Linked DNA regions of Arabidopsis thaliana. The protein of the gene in region 2 interacts with the protein of the main gene of each other region in a pairwise test. Each region holds a gene or a part of one and is shown on either strand. Other genes may lie near its edges.

Region 1 (7,112 bases), on a different chromosome or scaffold from region 2:
TACCTCCTCCTTATGTAGCCAAAACGATTTCCTAATCACCATAGGAGAAGATTTCCTTTTTCCATAAGAAAAAGTAAATTTACTCTTATCCTTTTTCTCATCAAACTCCACTTTCATCAAGTCTTCCAAATCTCTTTAAGTCCTTTTTCTTTTTTGATTCATCCTCTAAACACGCTCTTCTCAAATCTTCTAGAAACCGATACTCACACAAAACTGTCGCATCCTGAATTATTTCTTGAATCATTCAGCAATTTTATCAGATAAAATCATGTATTACTTCTTGTATCATTCAACACTTTCATCAGCAGCAGCTACATCTTCAACTTAGTCCTGTAATTTATTTTCTTAACATACAATTGAATTCAGCTAATCGTCCTTGCGAATGATCAAATGCATAGATAATTGTATCATCCTAAATAAAAGACGTGGGGAAATCATATGACATCTAGAACTTTGGAGAAGGGGGAGATAAGTGATGATGCATGGAAGCATTTCCCAAAGATAATCGAATAGATTCTCTCTTTTCTTTTGTGTTCGTCAGTTTTTCTTTACCATTCCCCGAGACAATATGGTGGGTTTATTAATTATTTTGATTCTTCTATAATTCTTCCCATTATTTTTATATATTCTTTTTAAGTTACCCATTCTTTTTTCTTCAATGTCGAGACGTCGAGTTAGTTAGCTTTTACGGCGACTTATGGATAAGGCATTACGCTCGGAGCCATGGACTGAGTTGGATAGATATAATGCGTATAATATTTAATCCCCATAACCTATATTTTAATTCCTATACATTGTAATGGTAGCATCTCAACTTTAAGGTTAGAGTTGGAACCTTAAAGTTTATGAATATTACAAAACACTTGTATGGGGGTGGAGTGCATGAAAATTAGAGCTGGGATGTATATATGGGAATATATATGCACTACATTATCTTACATTTTACATTGAAAAAATATTAGAAGATATTGTTCTTCATTTATTTAAGTATATTTTTACTGCTGGTGTATTCTACTGCCCTATATATATCTCGAAAGTTAAATAAATTCATATGTTATATAACTTTTAGTCATTCGTGGCATTCTTCTGTTACATCTTACTGTGGATTTTTCGTCTTATTATCTTATAGCTGACTCTTACTTTAGAGAGACAAGTATACCACAATGGAAAGGGTGATTTGACGGTAAAAAAAGCGATTGCAGTGTACCCACAAACGACAATTTATAATTTGTATGTGGGATATATAGTAAGGGAAATAAAAATCATAGGGTTAAATAGAAAAAGTGAATGAAACTGTCTTGTAGTTGTAGTAGACGAATCAAAAGGACACGTAGATGGTCAAGATACGAACCTCAAAGCCTTTTCCCTCCCATTTAATGATTCTTGTTTTTGTTTTAATCTATAATTTTTCATGATTTTCTTAAGTCTTTGTTTTGAAAATCACGAACGAATAAGTTCTGATGGATGTACTTGAATATTAGTAACAAGACTAATTGAATTAAAGAAAAGAGAAGTTATTCCTTTGACGTTTATAATTTTCCGCGGCTAAGGGAACATATACGTTCCTTGAAACTGTTGCCATGCAACTTTTGCTTTAACAGTTTAGAGAGTTTTTTACTTCATGCTACATCCTTTTTCTCCTGACACACACAAGAGCATATTATACATCCATGTACCTCCTCCATCGACCATCAATATATAGATACATGTGATTATTAATTATCTACATAAAAAGTTATACCACGAAGTTGCGATTGATAATATGAAAGTGGTACATGCTCGAAATAGATAATGAGAATATATCAGCTTTAGTTGTCTCATCGTTAGTCAATCTATATGTGCATATACAGTTAACAAGAAATCTATAAGCATATACGAACTGGGGTCCCAATAAGGTCTAAGAATCTTTTTTTTCTTTTTTTCTTTTCTTTGCTTTGCTTTAGTTTAGTTTGTGAAATTTAGTGAAAATTTCATTTTGTCTCATAGAGAAACCACATGTTAGTCAAAAATTATATAGTAAGTCCAAGAAAACTATATTAATATACCCATATTACCATATAGTCGGAGATTTCTAGTATCTCTAGTTTAGTTCTTCTTATTCATTATCAATTCAAGTGTTATAAAACCTCGAGACCAATAAAATAGGATTCACTCTCCTTCGTGCCCCCAAAGATATAGGTTTACATATCTATATTTCCACACCACCATTTTAAAAGCAAGAGTTAATTAAAGAGATATTTTTTAGTCATCTTGGTATGTAATCTGGTAAACTTTTTAGTTTGTTATCTTGTATAAACAACCAGTAAGATTTTGGTTCTTTTGTAAATACTTCTCTTTGAATTTAGGACTAGTGTTTTAAAATTACTTTCCTCCCATATTTTTGTTTTGATCTTTCAATTTAAATTAAAAGTTCGTTTACAACCCATGCATGCACACTTCCGAATTTAAACTCGGATTATAATTTGGCACTATAATAATCTATTAGAATACGTCTTGATTAATTTTAAAATATTTAGGTGTCTTAAAATAAGTACGTACGTTGATAAATATGGAGATATATACATCTGTCAAGTAAATGGTATTGAATTTGCCAGTATTAGCTTTTGTGAAGCTGACGCAAAATGAAAACGGCTGATATCTAAAGCTTTAACCTTGTGTTTCTTTTTTTTGTTTAAAATAGTGGGGTCTAGAAATGATAAATTAATTTAAAGTCCTCGATATATATAAATAGATAAATTTGTTTCTTTTGGGAATAACGTAGTTTACGGAGAAACCCAAATGTTAAAGGGAAATGCATTAAAGCTGTAGCAAAATAAGAAAGTAAAAACCAATTGAAACCCTAATTTCACTTCAAAAAATGTTCCCGGTTGTTAAAGGAAGGGCCTTTTGCTTTGTCCATATAAATATATTGTGAGAGTACAACAACACCTTCATAAGCTCTTACACTCATTTCAACTCTCTTTTTCGTTTCCATTACCCTCAGGTAATCATAACATATATATAAGTTACATTTGTAGATACATATGTCTTTAGTTTTGTGTAATTTGTTACTTAATTATTATTTTCTATGGTGTTGTAGAAGAAGATGAATAGGCCGGGAGATTGGAACTGCAGATTGTGTAGCCACCTCAACTTCCAGAGGAGGGATTCATGCCAACGTTGTAGAGAGCCTAGACCGGGCGGGATCAGTACCGATTTACTCAGCGGTTTTGGTGGCCGTCCGGTTAGTAGCTCCTTCGGTTTCAACACCGGGCCCGATGTGCGACCCGGGGATTGGTATTGCAACCTTGGGGATTGTGGGACACATAATTTTGCCAATAGGTCCAGTTGTTTCAAGTGTGGTGCCGCAAAAGATGAGTTTTCATGCTCAAGTGCTGCTGCAACAACCGGGTTTATGGACATGAATGTTGGTCCGAGACGTGGCCTTTTTGGTTTTGGCGGCAGCAGTAGTGGTGGTGGTGGTACGGGCCGTTCTCCTTGGAAATCTGGAGATTGGATTTGCCCAAGGTACTTTTTTGTTTGATTGTTTCTATGTATTGATGTTATTTTTTTGCAATAATATGTTTTGATGGTTAAAACTTAAAGCCAAAAAAGAAACATGCATGCTGGCTTACGTAAGCTAAACACGACCGTTTAAATTGTATTAATGTATATGCATATCGTAGAAACTGATTGGTTTAATTTGTATATTATAGGTCAGGCTGTAACGAACATAACTTCGCAAGCAGGTCAGAGTGTTTCAGGTGTAACGCACCAAAGGAACTTGCCACCGAACCACCCTATTAGTCATTTAGTCCTCCTACCTTCTTCATCATTTCCAAGTACTTTTCGTTTCAACAATAGTCTTAACTTCTGATCAGAAACAGTTCGACATATATATTTGGATGATAGAATTTGTTAACATTTACAACTTTATTATATCGTAAAAGTTTAAATAGTAGTGTGAAATACACTAACGATAGTACTTTAACGTTAACGTACGTATCTTTTTGATTATTTTTTTTAGTACTCTGGAAGCATTAGAGGAGAGCAGAAAGGTGAAGAATCGAAGCAAGATACCGACCGCCCTTAATCTCTTGATTTGTTTAATTTCTTAGATTTGACTCGTTTTATATCTCGTAGTAGTCAGACCTATGTTAGAATGTAAGCATGTCGAGAGTTTTCCGAAGCATTTTGTTCTGATATCGGTCTCCTAGCTAGTATGTAAGTTTGTTTGAATGTATTCTTATTTCTGATAAAGTTGTTTCCTTCTGATTCCGCAATCACGATTCTCATCTAAGTTTGAAACACTTGAGTTGTTGAACGTACGAGAGGCTGAGAGCTGTTGAGAACTTCTTCTGTGGCCGCAAATCCAAATTGCATGCAAATGTTATTATATATGCAATTAAAATTTTGTTATATAATTTGTAGTAGGAATGTAGTTTTACGTTAAACCAAACACAAACTCTAGTAACCGTTTGAAATGGGTAGATGCATGGACCACAACGAAACCTTTTGTCCAATGCCTCAAAAAAAAATATGCATGAGCATTCATATTATGATGTGGCTTGGTGATAATGAGCTTACCACCAAATCGAATGAAAATGTATGAGTTCCACTCTAAAATGAGAATAGTTATCAGAAAATATTAATTATGTTATATATCATTAATTAGTTTAGAATTCTAATTTATTTTCTTGGTAACATTAAGTTGCAAAATTAATTTTAATTAAATACAAATACGGATTTCACTATATATTAAATTGCGTATTCAAGGCCATCTTTTCGCACATACATTCGAGCAGTCGAACAAAACCCATAAGAAGATTTTTGCAATGAAGTTTTGTCATAAACAACAATATTGCAACTGATCGATGACCGTTTCCTTAATTGTTTGTAATGGGTGGTATACTTAAAAATTTGTTTTCAAAATGTAAGTAAGAAAGAAAAAAATCAGTAACGCATTTTTCATATTTACCATTCAACTTTTGATCCTGCTTATTTTTGTACTGTTTGTTCCGTCTCGCAGTACTAATTAGAACTACACTTTTTTTGGTCAAAACACTAACTACATTTTTTTTGCTTGATCTACTACTCAATATATTTTTGTTTTTATCGCTCGTTCTATACTGCCACGTACGATTGAGACTCTAAAATAGAGCAAGCGTACGTTGGTACGTGTCCACACACACGTTGCATTTTGCATAGGATTCCAATTTACTGAACTCATGGAAGTGTAGTTAAGATTATCATCAACGGGTCAAAAAAAAAAAAGACAACCAGTCTTTAATGTCTGCTACTATAATCCATTGCTTAGCTTTTATTTTTTCGTTAAAGGGTTGCACTAATTGGCTTTTTACTAAAGAATCTTTCGTTTTTCCCCCACTTTGAAGTCAATTCATCATTTGATTCTTCTTTGGTTTTAGTGAAGTGAAAGTACGTCTTAGGTATGATTATCATGCATGCATCATAGTGAACGTCTTCCCACTTTGAATTTCAAAACTATCAATTATTAGATTCGATTTAGATATGAATATATAATAATAGTATTTCAAAATGCATAAATTAGGTTGTGAATTGTAGACGATAAAATACAACCAGCTTAGTAATCTTCTTCTAATTATCAAATATATAGCATAATTCCTAAATCATATGTTTATTCTCATTAACTAACATAGTAGGTAATTCTGTTCATATGATTTAGCTAAATGCACGGTTTCATAATCACCTAAAGATCCATAAGCAATCATCAAATTACAATTAGTGTCAAACTAAGCACTACTTAAAATTCAGTGTTGGCGGAGAATAATATAAGACACATCTAATTACAATGGTAAGGATAGATGTGTGCAACAGTGCAAGTATATGTATAGCTTTAATCATAACTTATTAGTGTTTCTTTTAATGAGCAAATGAGAGAGACTTGTCGATGACCAATCTAAGTAAAGTGTACATCACTTGTTAAATAAACAAATATATTCTTACTGTTAAAGTCAATTTTTATAACAAAAGCAATAGCAAAGATAACTTTTTATCCATTTCAAAAACACCCTTACACAACGCTAATAAATTCTTAAATTTTGGGAAAAATTGCGGTAACTTTTATAAAAGTTTTAAAATTTATCTTTAACCCACATAAAAAAGCAAAGCATGTTCATCTTTCTAAGCCCTTTTTTTCTTAGCCCTTCTTTCTTTTGTTTCACATTTCCACATTCTTCCTAATAATTTCTATCTTTATGCAAAGCACACAATTGACATGGATGGAGCATATGCATATGTATTTGATGAAAACTTATTTTCTGGTACAGTATAATTCCACCAGAAAATTGAAGCCTCCACACGAATATTGTTTTTTTTTTTTTCTTTTTTTTTTACAAGATGTGATATACATAATGATTTAAATTTGATTGGTGACACGTTAACGACACTAAGACAGATTGTGAGTTTCCACGTGAGTTTGTTATCAAAGTATTTGTTTAACATTTGAGGACTCAAGATTCATATTCTAACATTATCAAATACTATTTTCTTACATAAAATGAAAATATCACCTATTGTTCAATTAGGAAAAAAAAATTGAAGGAAAAAGAAGATAATTTAAAATACTTTTAAGTTGGAATGCATGTAGATTAAGATTATTAAAAAATTAGAAAATGGCAAAAATATTTAACCAATAAACGGTGGTTCAGTGATTCAAAAGTTATTCTAAGATGGTACGAAATAGAGTTCACATTTTGTCATTTGTTTTCTATCATTGTTGGTAATATCGTGGGCATTTTAACATGTACTAGGTATAATATTGCAAAATAAAACAAAACTGTGCAAGATTTGGCGACACAATCCATCATGATTCCGATGGTTCCACTCTGAGATTGTTCATGGATTAGTTCGAAGAGTCGATCTCACATGACACGCGTGGAATCAGTGATCCAAGGTTTTGTGTTCTGCATTGTTGATAGCTTAGTTTCTTCGGACCCCAAGTAAAACACTTCCACTGCTAAGAATGTGTTTCATTTGTCTTTACATTTTGCATCATCGTTTTTCGTTCTCAATAGCTCAATGCAGTGATCTTCAAAATCATTTTCACTTCTTTAGACACCGATAATTTCATTGCTTTCGTCGAGTCGATGAAC
Region 2 (8,922 bases):
CGTTTATTATCTTTTGGTCAAAAATATAACTTTTGTCTGAATTCGTTTTTTTTTTGTTTGGACAAGAAAAAGACCTTTCTTCTTCCTTCGGTTGCCTCTACCATCTCATCAACACACATCTTCTCTTTCTCTTCTCTCATCCTCTCTCTTCTTCAGTGTTTACTTTTTCTCTTTCTCTTTTTTTTTTCTCTTTATTATTTCGCTTTAATGAGTTTTATCTGATAGAATCTGCTCCACCCAAAAACAGCATAAGAAGAAATTCATTGTCAGAGAAAAGTGCAAAAAAAAAAAACGATCTTCTTCATCATTCTACTAAATGGGTTCTTGTCTCAGTTCTCGTGTCCTTAGTACGTTCTCTACAATTCTCCATCTCCCATTTTTTTTTTTTTTTTTTTGTGATTCACACATGTGTATCTCTTCAAATCCGTGATCTTTTTGGTTAATCGATAATGGCTTTTAAGAAAAGGAATGAAATTTGCAAGAATCTTCTTCCTGTGATCTAACTGAATAAAGTTTTCCCCTTTTTTGGCGTTCTCTCAATTTTGACTGTGGTCAACGCTTTTGTGTGTTGTGCAGATAAGAGCAGTAGTGGTCTCGATGATCTTCATCTCTCGAGCTGTAAATCTTCATCATCAGCTACAGCTCATAAGACAGAAGGAGAAATCCTTAGCTCAACGACCGTCAAAAGCTTTAGCTTTAATGAACTTAAACTCGCTACTAGAAACTTCAGATCGGACTCTGTTGTTGGAGAAGGTGGCTTTGGTTGTGTCTTTAGAGGTTGGCTTGATGAGACTACTCTTACTCCTACCAAATCTAGCTCTGGTCTTGTTATTGCTGTTAAACGACTTAACCCTGATGGTTTTCAAGGTCACCGAGAATGGCTGGTACAACACTTGTTTCTTATCTTTGATTTATAACACTCTTTTGTTTTTGTGTGTGTAGGTTCTGATATTGATCTTTTTTTTTGTGGTTTCAGACAGAGATTAACTATTTGGGGCAGTTAAGTCACCCGAATTTGGTTAAATTGATTGGTTATTGCTTGGAAGATGAACAACGGCTTCTTGTGTATGAGTTTATGCACAAGGGTAGTCTTGAGAATCATCTGTTTGCAAGTGAGTCTTTGATCTCGTCCATGTTTTGTGAAACTTTGAGAGGTTGTTTGTTCTTATGTTTGAATGATTTTTTTGAAGATGGAAATAAGGATTTTAAGCCGCTATCTTGGATTCTACGGATTAAGGTTGCACTTGATGCAGCTAAAGGTCTTGCATTTCTTCATAGTGATCCCGTCAAAGTCATTTACAGAGACATCAAGGCGTCAAACATCTTACTGGACTCGGTATTCTTCTCTTTCGATGTCTACTTGTTGTCTTTATCAACGACTTAAAAGATACTGAGTTTTGTCTTTCAAACAACAGGACTTCAACGCAAAGCTTTCAGACTTTGGTTTAGCGAGAGACGGTCCAATGGGAGAACAAAGTTATGTTAGTACAAGGGTCATGGGTACTTTTGGGTACGCAGCTCCTGAGTATGTCTCAACAGGTACATTCTGTCACTAAGATATGATGCAAGTAATAATGGTTGGATAAGAAAATGTAAGACTGTTGCATGGTGCCTAACACTGGTTTTTAATGTAAATTTGAAGATAGCAACTATAAAATTTATGTGGTTAAAGGAGCATATGGGTTGATAGCTAGTTTCGTTCTCTCATCTTTCTATCTTTTTTCAGGCCACTTAAATGCTAGAAGCGACGTATACAGTTTCGGGGTTGTTCTGCTAGAACTACTATGTGGAAGGCAAGCACTAGACCATAACCGCCCGGCCAAGGAGCAAAACCTTGTGGATTGGGCTCGACCATACCTCACAAGCAGGCGAAAGGTTCTACTAATTGTGGACACTCGGCTTAACTCACAGTACAAACCCGAAGGAGCAGTGAGACTGGCAAGCATTGCTGTGCAATGCCTATCATTCGAACCCAAATCACGTCCGACCATGGACCAAGTGGTTCGAGCCTTGGTACAGCTGCAAGACAGCGTGGTTAAACCGGCCAATGTTGACCCGCTTAAGGTTAAGGATACCAAGAAACTTGTGGGATTGAAAACAGAAGACAAGTACCAGAGAAACGGTTTAAACAAAAAAACCGTTGGATTGTAGTAGGTAGAGGGAAATATAAGGTTACTTGGTTAGGTACTCTTCATGTCTTCTTCTTGTGTATTGTAATATTGTGCGAAGTGATTTTGACATTTTGTAACACTGCTTATAGTTTTGCTCCTGAAATATTCGATTTGGAGATACTTGTTTTCTCTCTATCTATAGTTTGGTGATATATGCCAAAATGTGGTAGTGATCAATTCCACTCTCTTCTAACATTTTAGTTTACTATATATGTAACTAATTTCTGTCAAGTTGATTTGTTTTTATGAAAATGACTTTAATTAGTATAGTTGATGATTGAATCATAAATAACTTGTAGCCAAAAACAGACAGAATAGTACAACAAACTCATAATGTAACATTAATATCAATTCCGAAGTTCACAAAATACCATAAATATCAAATTCCATGAACATTGTCATCAACCAGAAATAAATAAATTTTACGTTAATTAAGCCAAAATGGATCTCGAGTTAAATCAATATCAATAACTATTCAACATAGCCAAATAAGTCACTATTTTAGAACAAGAACTAACTCAATTTGAGGTTTTCAAAATTCCTATATCAATTTAGAACGAGAATCTCCAAAACACAAGTCACCTCAGTAAACTTATATATTTAAGGGTTACTTTGTTTTTGTCATAAATGTTAAAAGTTACTAAAACTGTTTTTTCCCCAATTTTTTTTACTGTTTCTCTAATTGTCAACAATCAACAATCTTTCCCTTTTTCCATTTAAAAAAACATACGCGAAAAAGGAAAAAACGCGATAAGGCCAAAAGCCCATTTAATAAATGGGCCAAGCTCTCCGATCAATAGAAAAAGATCTGTCTTCTTCTTCTCTATTCTCTGATCTCTCATAAGAAGGGCTTAGGGTTCACTTCAGATCTGTCTTTGAACATTGCTACTCTCAAGTGATCAAATTAACTCCGTCGCAGGTAAATTCCACAATCCTCCGACCGTAAACCCTAATTTATCACTGTTCTTCCAAGAAACAAGTTTTTGTTTTGATGAAATTGAGGATCTTGCGTTGAAATCGTTTTGTTTCTATGGTAGGTGATGAGGAGATACAGTCCGCCTTATTACAGTCCTCCGAGGAGAGGATACGGTGGTCGAGGTAGAAGTCCTCCTCCTCCTCCTCCTCGACGTGGATATGGTGGTGGTGGTGGTGGTGGTGGACGTAGAGGATCTAGCCATGGAAGTCTCTTGGTTCGTAACATTCCTCTTGATTGCAGGTAAATTCTCTTCCTTTGGTTTAAAGTTTTGATTTTGTTTTAGTTTATCTTTGAAGATTTCGTTGGGTTGTTGTTGATTTTGTTGTTTTTGATTTTGTAGACCAGAAGAGCTTCGTGAGCCCTTTGAGAGGTTTGGACCTGTGAGAGATGTCTATATCCCCAGAGACTATTACTCAGGGTAAGCCTCCTCTTTCCTTCTCGATATCTTGATCTTTTTCACTGTACCTGAAATTTGTGCTGCGAATTATGTCTTTTGAGGTGTGAATCTTTTATAGATGGACTAGTTAGGTAATGGCTTAGCATATGATTCTTGTTTTCCTGTAGAATTTGCTTTCTTTACGATTGAAAAATGCTGTCTAAACACTTTGCTGCTTCACATTCAATGCTGAACCATTTGTTTTGATTAAAAAGGATGTTCATAAGTCTTCAACTTGTGCACAAAGTGAGGAAAATTGCAAGTGACATATGAGTTTTGAATTTTGATTTTGGCGCAACCTGTGCATGTTACTTTTTTTATACACTCCACTTTTTGATCGAGCTAAGTTCTCGAGGTGAGAAGAGGTCCTTTTGGTTGAGTTCTCGATTTTTTCAGAGCTTTTTGTTTTGGAGTTCTTTTTTTCATAGTAAATTAAACATTCCACTGATTTCCCAGGGGGTATGTTGGCTTGAAGTTAAAACAAGACCAAGCCCCACATTTGATGAAGGCCTCATGAAAAAAATCTTAACTTAAGGATATTAAGGGTCATTTCAAATCAAGAATGTTTTGTTTGGAAGCAAGTTATATGTGAAGCATGTTTTATTTGGAAGGAAGTATTAAGTGAAGAATATTTTGTTTGGAAGCAAGTAATAAGTGAAGAATGTTTTGTTTGGAAGCAAGTAGTAAGTGAAGAATGTTCTGAATGGAAGCAGTAATAAGTGAAGCATGTTCTTTATGAAGCTATACAGTAAATTACTCAAAACCTTAGAAGTTTTTTGGGGAAGACGACCTGAAGAGAACTTAAGTTTGGGATCAAGTGCATCTTATTTTTACAAGATGCTTGCCTCTTTTCGAGTTGATATGCTTGAACTGTTATGAAAGGGTCAGCTACTAATCATATTAGCGTAAGTAGAACTCTGCTTTTCTTAGAAGTTCTCACACGATGACGTTTACTTAGAAGTTCTCAGAAGCTGTAGAATGTAGGCTGATTTTGCTGGTAATTCTAGATTTATCTGGTGTTTTGTGCATTTGCTTTCAACCATCAACCACTTGGAATGATAAGCTTCTGATAAATGATGCAGGCAACCGCGGGGGTTTGCGTTTGTGGAGTTTGTTGATGCATATGATGCTGGGGAGGCTCAAAGAAGCATGAACAGGAGAAGCTTTGCTGGAAGAGAGATAACGGTGGTTGTTGCTTCAGAGTCTAGGAAAAGGCCTGAAGAGATGCGTGTGAAGACTAGGACTCGTAGTAGGTAAGTTTCCATATTTCTGATTGCTTAAGCAAAAGAGTTATCAATCAAATCGCTCTTCGTGATTAATGCTCTGCAAGTTATCCATCATTTATGAAAAGAAGTTGAGAAGGAAATAATCGTTGCGTTGTCTCAATTTTTCAGGGAACCTTCAGGCTCCAGGGATCGTTCTCATGGTTAGTAATTTTCTCTCTGGTTATGCACATGTTATGTTCTATACCAGCAAAGTTTACACAAATATTAGCACAGCTAGATTGGGACGCACTTGTTTATACACAGCTTGAGAAAGCACTTGTTTATACATGTTCTCATGGTTTGTATACACAGCTTGAGTATGTTTATGATTTTTTGTTCTCAGGACGGTCTCGTTCACGTTCAATCTCTCGATCACGTTCTCCACGTCGTCCGTCAGATTCTAGAAGCAGATACCGATCAAGGTAACATGCTTCATCACACATACATTTCCATCATCATCAAGTCAACAAGAAGTATATATGGTTTTAGATAATGGTGTTACAGGTCTTACTCTCCTGCACCAAGACGAAGAGGAGGTCCTCCTCGTGGGGAAGAAGATGAAAATTACAGTCGTAGGTCCTACTCCCCTGGCTATGAAGGTGCTGCTGCTGCTGCTCCAGATCGGGACAGAAATGGAGACAATGAGATTAGAGAGTAAGTGAAACATGGTGTCTGATTTGTTTTGCCCCTGAAGATTGTGTCTGATTTTTCGTATCTGGACATTGATTGGTCTTAATAGAAAACCGGGCTATGAAGCAGAGGATAGACGTCGTGGTGGAAGAGCAGTTTCAAGGTCGCCATCAGGATCCAGGTCCAGGTCTGTGGAGGTATCTCCAAGATGAAACTTATGTGAAGAAGTGGCCGACCAAAACTTTGTGCAACGCTTTATGGGTTTTGCATTTCTCTAGTAGTGCGTCTCTGTGTCTTTAAAAACTCCTTACTCTGGCTTGTCAAAGATATTTTGTCTTGTGATGTGATGTTACTTGAAATCGGTTTCGGTTTATGGGTCTTATTATAAAATTGTATGAAGAAGATTGGTTATGCTTTTGATGTGAGACAGGTTTAAAACCCACAATGAGCGAGTAAACCAAGTCTTCTCTCGTATGGTCGAGGTCGAGAATTGCGACCTTTTTTTGTTCTCGAGCAGCCTTTGCAGATATTTAATTAGGAAAGTCAGGTCTAAGAATTTCTGAGAAGAAGAGAATAAAAAGACTCATTCATCTAGAAGAAGCCATAATGATGTTTTATTGGGTCTGTTTTGATCAAAAGTCCAAAGACTTCTACTTTTAATTGGGTTCGTATACATTTTTCAAGCAGCCAAGAGTCTTTCCTTAAACTAAGTAAGGGTAAGATGGTCATTTTAGCTTAGTTGACCAGACTTATAAACTTTAGGTTTTGCCTCCTGTTACGTAATAATGGTTTGGTTTGGTTTGATCAAGTCTTGGAACCACGACGCAGGTTATGTTTGAAAATTGAAAAAGAGTAAATAAGAATAGTAAAAAATCATTATGTGAACGAGAAAGTCTGCGTGTTCTTGCTTCTGTATTTAAAGACTTTGTCTGACACATCCACTTCATCAATCGTTTCTCTTTCTCCTTCTTCTTCTTCTTCTTCTTCTTCTTCTTCTTCTTCTTCTTCTTCTTTTTCTTTAGAAACAACACAAACCCCAAAAACTTAAAAAATAACTCTACAGAGATGGCTGTTGGAATCCTTGAGGTTAGTCTGATCAGTGGCAAAGGTCTCAAGCGCTCTGATTTTCTTGGTAATGATCTCTCTATTCTCTCAGATTTCGTATCCTTTGATCATTTAAAAAACCCTTTTACAACAATTTATATTTTTCTTGGTTTTGTATGATTGTAGGTAAGATAGATCCATATGTTGAGATCCAATACAAAGGGCAAACCCGCAAAAGCAGCGTTGCTAAAGGTAATTTAACTTGCTAGTTTCCTTCTTTCCATATTTCCAAATCTCTATCAGCTTAATTCGGGTTATTTCGTTTGACTTTTTTTTTCGTTTTATGCGAGAGAGACTATTTCTCCAATTTCATCATTTTCTTTTCTATATACTTGGACTTTAGGAATAAAAAGCCCACATGCTGGTGTTAGTTGATGGTTGTACATAAAGTAAATAATAGTTGCAACTTGCATCCATTGGTATTTCAACTATCCTCATAGCCATTACATGGTAGCTTAGGCTATACTATTTATTCGCGTTTTGATAACATTCATTATCTTTTATCAGTTATAACATTCATCAGGTTTTTACGTTCTGATGATGCATAAGTTATATAAATGCATGTTTTAAAAGTGTAACTTGAAAATAAAACAATCAATTTTCCAAAAACTAGCTAACTATTGTTCGTGATTATTCGGCAAAATTTGTTCATCCCAACTCTCAAATGCTTTCCGCTACTTTTATCATTTCACTATTTGTCATTACACTATTTTATATTTTGAGACATTTTGTGGTAGCTTGCAAGTTTGTTTTCATGTATATGGTTTAAATCTTGAAAAATGTTGTGTATGGATAGAGCTTTCTTCTGAAAGTAGTCATCTCATTTAGTGTGATATTGTCTGGCCAACCTTATTTTTAACTAATCACCAACTAATACACCAAACTACTAGCTATAAGAAATAATATTTTCATTTCCTACAAAAATGGGTAGTGAAATGTGAAAACTACTGTGATGTAAACAATCCTCGCTAGACTTGGTTAATGTTTTACTGAAGAAAATGGTGTTTTAGTGAGATATTGATTGCACGGCTTTAATCAAACGGCTTTTGTCTACTTTACCAATAACGGATCAAACTGGACAATGTTCTTTTCTCATTATCATATTTCATGTACAAACATCGTTTATCAAATTTTCATCTTTTTTGTTTACTTAAATGAAGAAGATGGAGGTAGAAATCCGACATGGAATGATAAATTGAAATGGAGAGCAGAGTTTCCTGGCTCCGGCGCCGACTACAAACTCATCGTCAAAGTCATGGATCATGATACTTTCTCCTCTGACGATTTCATTGGCGAAGCCACGTACGTATATCACATAACATGATAGCCCTAAACTATACATAACTGAAATCGAAAAGAAAAAAAGAATATGGACTAATCTTGATTAATGGAAATGAATAAATAGGGTACATGTGAAAGAGCTATTGGAAATGGGAGTGGAGAAGGGAACGGCGGAGCTAAGGCCAACCAAGTACAACATTGTTGACTCCGATCTCTCCTTTGTCGGCGAGCTTCTCATTGGAGTTTCTTACTCTCTTTTGGTTAGTTTCTTTTTACTTTTACTTTCTTTTTTTTTAACTAAAATTTATTTACTCTCTGATTGAAGTAAACTCTTTACTTTTTGTTGGGAATTTTCAGCAAGACAGGGGAATGGATGGAGAACAGTTTGGAGGATGGAAGCATAGCCAAGTTGATTAGTTTGGTTTCTTAAAACTGCTGATTTTATCTTCTTCTTCTATCTTTAGTGTCAACATCATTAAGATATTCATAAGTACAAAAAATTATTTAAATTAAAATGTATCATGATTTGTTGGTTGTGGGGAATCTTCTTGATTTAGTAAGAGCATGTGTATGAAATTGAAATCTCATTGTATTTATAATTTATATTTTACATAAATGTATCAAAATAATGTTATAAAAAAAAGGATTGGTAACATTTTCACAAGGTGACAAAAAAAAGATCCTCAGTTTTGATGATCAAGTGGCTGAAGAAGACGGCTCAACCATGAAATTAGCTATCCTGTTCAACAGGTTTAAACCAAAAACCGTTTCTTCGCAATTGATCTTGACTGTTAAATTCAGAACTTCGGTGCATTTGCCTTCGACTGTGATGGTAATCAAAAGAGGGATCTCACTGCTCAAGATTTTGCTGCTGAATCTTAATCGCAGACCAGTTGCATCTTCGAGTGAGTTTGCAACTGGTAAATCCACAGATACAAGGTGTAGATTTGAGTTGCTAAGCACCTTTAGTGTTATACTCTCGCAGATGCTAAGAAATTTGTCTTTCCCATTCTCCGTTCTTGAATCTTTAACATGATCGTCAAAAGTACACCTACCAAA

Evidence for each region.
Region 1: the proteins of SCL30 (region 2) and AT5G25490 interact in a two-hybrid assay, tested with the Arabidopsis thaliana proteins (one large-scale study listed by BioGRID).

Annotation. Positions count from the first base shown.
Region 1 is NC_003076.8:8,873,554-8,880,665, forward strand, and holds AT5G25490 (Ran BP2/NZF zinc finger-like superfamily protein), read left to right. Parts: upstream 1-2,767; 5' UTR 2,768-2,983; intron 2,984-3,079; 5' UTR 3,080-3,085; coding exon 3,086-3,507; intron 3,508-3,695; coding exon 3,696-3,786; 3' UTR 3,787-3,821; exon of another isoform or gene 3,822-4,006; 3' UTR 4,007-4,351; downstream 4,352-7,112.
Region 2 is NC_003074.8:20,557,813-20,566,734, forward strand, and holds SCL30 (SC35-like splicing factor 30), read left to right. Parts: upstream 1-2,989; 5' UTR 2,990-3,090; intron 3,091-3,208; 5' UTR 3,209-3,211; coding exon 3,212-3,387; intron 3,388-3,487; coding exon 3,488-3,565; intron 3,566-4,665; coding exon 4,666-4,836; intron 4,837-4,977; coding exon 4,978-5,009; intron 5,010-5,191; coding exon 5,192-5,270; intron 5,271-5,352; coding exon 5,353-5,502; intron 5,503-5,587; coding exon 5,588-5,690; 3' UTR 5,691-6,073; downstream 6,074-8,922. Other genes in the region: PBL1 (PBS1-like 1), read left to right, coding at 317-395, 514-884, 977-1,112, 1,191-1,336, 1,416-1,539, 1,727-2,151; AT3G55470 (Calcium-dependent lipid-binding (CaLB domain) family protein), read left to right, coding at 6,544-6,610, 6,709-6,774, 7,743-7,884, 7,988-8,123, 8,221-8,280; PAT2 (protein affected trafficking 2), read right to left, coding at 8,560-8,914. UniProt on the Arabidopsis thaliana protein: Involved in intron recognition and spliceosome assembly. Probably active at the 5' splice sites.